2 linked regions of the Arabidopsis thaliana genome follow. The protein of the gene in region 1 interacts with the protein of each later gene in a pairwise test. Each region holds a gene or a part of one and is shown in the gene's direction. Other genes may lie near its edges.

What was found.
Region 2: the proteins of BZO2H3 (region 1) and FTRA2 interact in a two-hybrid assay, tested with the Arabidopsis thaliana proteins (one large-scale study listed by BioGRID).

The regions. Positions count from the first base shown.
Region 1 is NC_003076.8:10,795,634-10,800,302, reverse strand, and holds BZO2H3 (bZIP transcription factor family protein), read left to right. Parts: upstream 1-1,997; 5' UTR 1,998-2,155; coding exon 2,156-2,422; intron 2,423-2,661; coding exon 2,662-2,752; intron 2,753-2,855; coding exon 2,856-2,967; intron 2,968-3,031; coding exon 3,032-3,107; coding exon of another isoform or gene 3,108-3,189; coding exon 3,190-3,315; coding exon of another isoform or gene 3,316-3,382; coding exon 3,383-3,655; 3' UTR 3,656-3,846; downstream 3,847-4,669. UniProt on the Arabidopsis thaliana protein: Transcription factor involved in controlling responses to starvation. BZIP2-BZIP63-KIN10 complex binds to the ETFQO promoter to up-regulate its transcription.
Region 2 is NC_003076.8:2,708,856-2,712,220, reverse strand, and holds FTRA2 (ferredoxin/thioredoxin reductase subunit A (variable subunit) 2), read left to right. Parts: upstream 1-1,622; 5' UTR 1,623-1,632; coding exon 1,633-2,247; 3' UTR 2,248-2,411; downstream 2,412-3,365. Other genes in the region: AT5G08415 (Radical SAM superfamily protein), read left to right, coding at 75-165, 283-440, 653-824, 947-1,057, 1,161-1,238; AT5G08400 (structural maintenance of chromosomes-like protein, putative (DUF3531)), read left to right, coding at 3,310-3,365. UniProt on the Arabidopsis thaliana protein: Variable subunit of the ferredoxin-thioredoxin reductase (FTR), which catalyzes the two-electron reduction of thioredoxins by the electrons provided by reduced ferredoxin.

The DNA.
Region 1 (4,669 bases):
GACAACAAAAAAAAAAATCTGATAATCAGGGGTGTTCCAGTTTTACCATCGACAAACTTTTTCAAAGTAAATGTATCCACTGTCTGTCCTAATCTAAAGCTGAACAATTAAGGGTTTTAAGCCTCAAAATATATATTTCATTTTGAAAGCACCAAAACTATAAATTTCTTGTAGGACAGTGATTTTTCCGGGTTTTTTTGTTTCTCATGTTATAGGTTTAAGTCTCCAATGCATCATTTTGCTATATTTTAAATATTTATAGGCAAAAAATATTTTGGGTTTTAGGACCAACTCTGAGTGTAGCCGTTGAATAGTCCATTCATCGGATTTTTAATAAACCTTAAACATGACACCAGGTCAAAATAAGAATGATTTAGAAATTGATTCATAACCTAACCTACATAATAATTCTTCCTAAAATAAGACAAAATGTCACACGAAATTATACAGTTTGAGATTTTTCTAAACCACTTTAACATAGAAAAGTCTACAAAATTCTACTAATGGTGTAATAGAGACGTACTTTGATAAAACGTAAATCATTCTTTCAAATAGAGTTGAACTACTGATATTCTCAAAGTCAAACCACCAACATCCACTTGGTTTGCAAGTGTTATGTTTCTCTCTCACTAGATATTCTCTTGATAAAAGGTTTTGCACAAGTGTACTAATATATGCAAAAATAAAGGACCCACCAAAATATGCAACTTGAATTTGGATAGATTCTTATCCAAAAATCAGAAGTTTAGTACATTTCTCTAATCTAACTTCACTTACAAAACTATATATTATGTTCCTCTCGGATCTCTCCTTTCCTTTGTAAAATGCAAATGGGAATATTAAATGGACCCATGAAATGAAGTTACGTTACAAAACCGACGACAACTATAATATTTATTATTTATATATTCTTGTGATGCAGATCAAAATTTAAATTGACTAAAATACCCCTTGCCACGTCAGTCTGACTTGGATTTGCCCCAAAAAGCGTTGAAAAAAATATTATTAAATCCAATAAGGCATAAACAAATATTATTACATGTATATTTTAAATATTACTTTAAGCTCCTCATATTCTTCTGTTTTTATCAATTATACACCAACATTTGTTGTTTATAAATATGAACCCCTAATCGTCCCCTTTCAAACGTGGAATATAAGATCGATATATATTACACATTTGAGTAAACAATTAGGCAATGAAGTTTGTGAAGGAGACTGCATTTCTGATAATCTTAATAATTTTTGTTTTCTTAATAATATTATTTATTTTTTTTATAAAATGGTCTGAAAAATTACAATCATTACATCGTTTCTAACGGTTTTTTCTTTCTTAAAGAATCGTTTTTAAATTTAAAATTTTCGATTATTTTTGATTTTTACCGCTAATCTTGGAATTTATCTTGAGTGCTCAAGAGTGAGTAAAATCCCTTACCTCGAAAAATCCCTTTATGGTAGAGGACGTTGGTGATAGTAACAATTTTTTCTCGTAGCTCGGTCATTGTGTCGGCCATTGTGAGATCGAAGAAAGATATTGAGATAAGGTGGGTTAAGCAGTAGATTCTCCGTTTTCCATTGTCCACTAGGATACAATTTTCTTTTTTGACTCTGATCAGTTTTTTCTATTTTAATTTGTGTATCTTAATATTATTATTCGTTGTAACTGTAGGCGAATCTCACCTTTTTTAAAAACATGTTTTAAGAAAGAAAAAAAAAAGTTTGACACTTTAATTATTTTTTCCATTCTATATATCTTATAAACTAAAAATTGTTCTAAAAAGTAGAAAAATTAGTATAACTAAAACCATATTTCCAGATACTTTTTTCCTTTTATTTATTATTAGTTCTGTTGTTAATAAAAATCGTTATAATTTTTTGTATTATGACCTGTCGTTTTTTAAGATACTACAAGAAAACAGTGACCTAACAGAATAAATCAAAAGTTTTTGCTGTAAATAGAAATACACGACTCTTGTCGGGGCCATTAGGGTAATAATCAGACAATTAAATATCTAACAAAACAACAAAACTTGAAAAGAACATATTATTAAAATGCAAGACTGCCCAATCGGATAAGAAGAAACTGTTTTGACAATTTGAAACCAAAAAAAAATAAATAAAACTAAAGAAACAAACAAATTACAAAAGAGAAAAGATGGAAAAAGTTTTCTCCGACGAAGAAATCTCCGGTAACCATCACTGGTCGGTTAATGGAATGACGTCGTTGAATCGCAGTGCTTCCGAATGGGCATTCAATCGTTTCATACAAGAATCCTCCGCCGCTGCAGACGACGGAGAATCTACGACGGCGTGTGGTGTTTCCGTCTCCTCTCCTCCTAATGTTCCTGTAGATTCAGAGGAATACAGAGCATTTCTCAAGAGTAAACTTAATCTTGCTTGTGCTGCTGTCGCCATGAAAAGGGTACTCACTACTCTGCTCAAGTTTGAGTTTTTTTTTTTTTCATAGAAAAAGAAAAACAAAACCTTTTTATCTGTTAGTTTGATGAGTTCACTTGAAGCTAAGAAACTAATCTTGTTTTGTTATGTTTGAGTGTTAAGATCTTATTGGACCTTTTGTATATGATTTGCCATTATCTTCCTTGAGATTATAATTTGCATTAGTTAATTGATTTTGTGGTGTTAATATTGAAAATTTGATAGGGAACTTTCATCAAACCTCAGGATACTTCTGGTAGATCTGACAATGGTGGAGCCAATGAATCAGAACAAGCCTCTCTTGCTTCTTCCAAAGGTTTTACAATACATCTATGATAAGCCTTTTAAGATGTTATTGATAGTTGTTGTGTTTGTTTTCAAGATTTCTTGTAAATGCTAATGGACCAATCTGTATGCAGCTACACCAATGATGAGCAGTGCTATAACAAGTGGATCTGAGCTCTCTGGTGATGAAGAAGAAGCTGATGGTGAAACTAATATGAACCCTACTAATGTTAAACGCGTTAAAAGGTAACAAATTTACATCCTTTCTTGGACTTGAACATGAACATGAACGTGAATTTGTTTGTTATAGGATGCTCTCTAATAGAGAATCAGCTAGACGGTCCAGAAGAAGAAAGCAAGCACACTTGAGTGAGCTAGAGACACAAGTATGTTACTCTCGCAGCGTTCTTATTCTTTCTCCTTTAACTTTGTTTAGCTCACTTGTGCGACAATCTCCATTTCGTGTAGGTTTCACAGCTTCGTGTAGAGAATTCAAAACTCATGAAGGGTCTCACTGATGTAACTCAAACATTCAATGATGCATCTGTAGAAAACAGAGTTTTAAAAGCCAATATTGAGACACTACGAGCAAAGGTAAAATACTTTCTTTTATCTCTCTGTCTACCAAAACTCGCTATTGAAGCATGTTTGTTTTTGGCAGGTGAAAATGGCTGAAGAGACAGTGAAGAGACTCACTGGCTTTAACCCAATGTTCCACAATATGCCTCAGATTGTTTCAACTGTCTCTCTTCCTTCAGAGACATCAAATTCTCCAGACACTACAAGCAGCCAAGTGACTACACCAGAGATCATTAGCTCGGGGAACAAAGGCAAGGCCTTGATAGGGTGCAAGATGAACAGAACAGCTTCGATGCGTAGAGTTGAGAGCTTGGAACATCTGCAGAAACGTATTCGAAGCGTTGGGGATCAGTAGCTGTTAAAGAAGAATCTTGATTTGTAACATTAATCTTAAGACATATGTTAAGACAAAATGTTGTATGTTTTTGTAAAGAATTGTTTTTTCAGATTATTTAAATTTTTTTTTGTCTTCTTCGTTGATTGTTTGTGTTGAACTTCTAATTTTCATTGTACATGTCTTTTGTTAAATTTACAAAGTTTTTCTAATTTCTGTTAAGAATTACAAGTTTTATCAATTTCACCTAGTGAAACTATTGAAATGGTGATGAGGCAACGATGCAAACGTATAATTTTGGTTATTGAAACTAGAAATTACGAGTTTAATCCCAAATTTCGGCTCTTAGAATCGGGTTTCTATCAATAATTTTTGTTTAAATCCGAATTAGATTATAAATATATATATAAATAAAATAACTATAATTAAACCTTATTAATTTATATTTTTTTTCAAAGTAACCTTTAAATTATGATTTAAGATATTCAATTATGTTCGTTTTTTCGTATCGATTATTTTGATTTGGTTCAGATCGGATAAAACATCTCTAATAAGAATTAATATGCTCTTTTGTAGAATTAATATTCATGAAATATTTAGAAATTTTGTATATTATATAAAATTTAGGAGTACTTTTGACGTATTTTTTTTTGTCGACAATTTCTTTGATTACTAACCCAAAAGGGCAAATTATAAGAGAAGTATAGGTGAAATTTGTGGATCCAAAACCCCATGATATAAGTCCAAACTAAACCCATACAATAATACATCAAATTAAGACTAGGTTTAAAATGAGACACGTGTTAGCCACGTCCCACGTGTTATTGCACAAAGGAGTGGTGGAAAACAACCGACTTGCCACCAAAAATGGAAAAATCCGGTCAGATTCAAAAGAATTTCAGTGAGGAAAATCACCATTTTCAGCACTTGATTCCAACAGATTTCAGCTTCTTACTCCGTATTTCACCAGATCCATTTGCAGCGTTTTTGAAAAGGTAGAAAACCGATGTCCTTGAATCTTCAAATCTATTAAAC
Region 2 (3,365 bases), 8.1 Mb from region 1:
AGTCACTACTGCATCTTTGTTAATTTATGATGGGTGTATCATGATATGCTATTTTGCATTTTCCTTTGTTGCAGTGTAGACTACATAGTTATTACCAGCGTAGACCGTGACGATATACCTGATGGTGGAAGTGGACATTTTGCGCAGACTGTCAAAGCTATGAAGGTTATTAATATTCTATTTGTTTATGCATTATGTTATTTAAGCATACCTTTTTGTGCATTTCTCGAATGTTGTTTCAGAGTATTTATGAAAATGAAAATATATATCTCATCTCTGTAGAGACATAAGCCGGATATAATGATAGAATGCTTAACTTCTGATTTTCGTGGGGATTTGGAGGCTGTCGACACTCTTGTGCACTCGGGATTGGATGTTTTTGCTCACAATGTCGAGACTGTGAAAAGGCTCCAGCGACTTGTGAGGGATCCTAGGGCTGGGTGAGTGCTGTTTCTTGTTCTTCATTTTTTTATATGTTCTGCAAATTTGGTTATGGCATAGATGGGCTGAGCAGTGAATTGATCCTCTGCTCCGGGATGTCAATCTCATATTACACAGTCAAATATCTCCTAAAGTGAGACATAGGTGGTGTTCTGCATCTTTAGTTGTAGTAAATCTCCATTTTAATGTGGATATAATGTGGAGAATGCAGATATGAGCAGAGCATGTCAGTTTTGAAACATGCAAAGATCAGCAAACCTGGAATGATCACAAAGACATCCATAATGCTTGGTCTTGGAGAAACAGACGAAGAGTTGAAGGAAGCAATGGCTGATCTAAGAGCTATAGATGTTGATATTCTAACACTTGGCCAGTATCTACAGGTAAACTAATCACTTCAACATTCCCCACATCATTCGCAATATTCCTATTTCCAAGATAGAAAGATCCCAAATTTCAAAGAACATCTACGATTTAAAACCGTTTCTCTTGTTCCACAATGAAGCCAACTCCATTGCATCTGACTGTGAAAGAGTATGTCACACCTGAGAAGTTTGATTTCTGGAAAACATACGGAGAATCAATAGGATTTCGTTATGTTGCAAGTGGTCCACTGGTAAAGCCACAAACTATTTCTTACTCTTTATGTCAAAAAATATCTGAGAACATAGAAGATACAGAAATGTACTTGTTTGATATTGGATATATACTTTTTGCAGGTAAGATCTTCATATAGAGCAGGAGAGCTTTTTGTTAAGACAATGGTGAAAGAAAGCTACTCTAAATCCTTGTCTTAATAACAACAATGGCTACTATAATGCCAAAAATGATTGCTGAGACCACAAAGCCTTCTTCCTATCTTTTTTGTTTGTTTCTTTTAATAGACTTCATTTATTTTGGTAATTGATTTGGAAACCATTGTGGATATATAAAAGTTTATATATACTAGTTTTGTGTTATTATAAAATCCTGCCAATAATATCTGGAAATTGTCTCAAGATATTTACAGTGTTGATTCTCTATCTGAAGCCACAAGTTCCTCATCTCTTACATTGTCTTAAGTCTGACACGCGTCGCCTTTCTTTATCCAAAAATAATCCGACTTTTAATTTAAACCAAATAATTAGCAAAATTAGTAATCACCTTGATTAAATTAACCATCTAATATAAATAGATGAGGGGCTAAATGATATGATCTTTTTTGTTTTCTCTCACACTTTCTTAAGATTTTTTTCTTCGGCTCGGACGCAGATGACTAACAGTTACGCTCTGTCACCGGCGATTATCGCCGCCGTTCGTCCTCCGGCATCTCAAGACTATCTAGTTGCTGCTTCTCTTAGTGGACGCAAATCGATCAACTCTTCATCTTCGTCCATTTTCGTACCTATCTCATTATCTACTTCCTACGGTCGAAGCAAATGCGCCTTCTCAATCTCGCGGAAGAATCCAAAATCGACGATTCGTTGCGATATTGCTGTGAAATCGGCGGCTTCTGTAGACGCGGACGCTGATCTATCGTCATCTACGTCGTTGGAGACGGAGGAAGACGAGAAAGCGAAGGAGAAGATTGGAGCTAGGGTTAGGGTTACGGTTCCGTTGAAAGTTTACCATGTGGTTCGTGTACCGGAGGTTGAATTGATGGGAATGGAAGGTTTTATCAAAGATTACGTCGTTCTTTGGAAAGGAAAGAAAATCTCAGCTAATCTGCCGTTTAAGGTACAGTTCGTGAAAGAGATCGAAGGTCGTGGTCCTGTCAAATTCTTCACGCATCTTAAGGAAGACGAGTTCGAGTTAATTGATCCGTGATTGAATTGAAAAAGGCAAAAACTTTTCTTCTCTTTCTGATATTAGACTTGAAAAATCTTTTGTGAATGGTTTGTTTGTATGTACTTTTGTATACATTTAGCTTATTATATACATAAGATTTCACCCATTCTTGAATCCTTTATTGCTGTTTTCTTGCTTCTGATTTGGTTTCCCAGAGTATATAGTTCGTCTTGTGTTGGAGAAACTAAAAGCTGTCTATTGATCCATTGACTAGCTTAGAAGCCTATCAAACTGATTTTGCATTTGATGTGTTCACTTCAAATGAACATCATTGAATGATCTTATCCTCAAAATCTATCATCCGTTGGAGGTTATGAAGTAGATGGTAGTGAGCATGAAAGTGGTAAAGATATTGGTTTATGTAACTAAAGAGTGTTTTCAGTTGATTGTTATAGTGAGAATCTTTGTTTGTAGTTAGAACCAGAAACTAAAAGGAATGACATCAGTTGTTTTCTAGGTTCTTATCCTCTTTGTTTCGTATAATCAAATGTGGGATTGCATTCTCTGATCTTTGTAGAAGAGTCTTTGAGTTAGAAGTAATGATGGCATGAGAGAGTGTTGAGGAATTAGTTTATGTGTCAATGTGGATGGTTCCTTTGCTGCAACTCTTTTTTGTAGTAATAATATGAGTATATGATGTGGGCAGTAGTATTGTGGTAATTCTTCTCAAGTTGTTAGCATTTTGATTTACTGAGATAAGGTCAGGAGTTGTAGTGGACTCATAAGATTATGTACCAAATGTTGTTACTTCCAATGTGATAAGCTAAGCTATGACCAATCCATGAGGAATATTGTTCCAGCCTTTTTGGGTCTCATTCTCTCTCTCCCCGGTCGCGGTTTACGGATTGGTTTTTTGCTTGTTTGATTTCGATTGGATAAGTTCCGGTTAACCTGATTGAACCGGTTTTAAAATGTTGTAATCCGATAATTATGACTCAAGTCTAATGAAATCTCTGAAATGTGTAAGATCAAAAGTTTATAAACGCAGAAAACTCAACTTGAGCTTGTTGGTTACAGTAACGAGATCGACAAGGAAAAAAAATGTACGAAAATAATCTCTTAACGCTCTCTTCATGCACCATGAATCTCAATTTCGC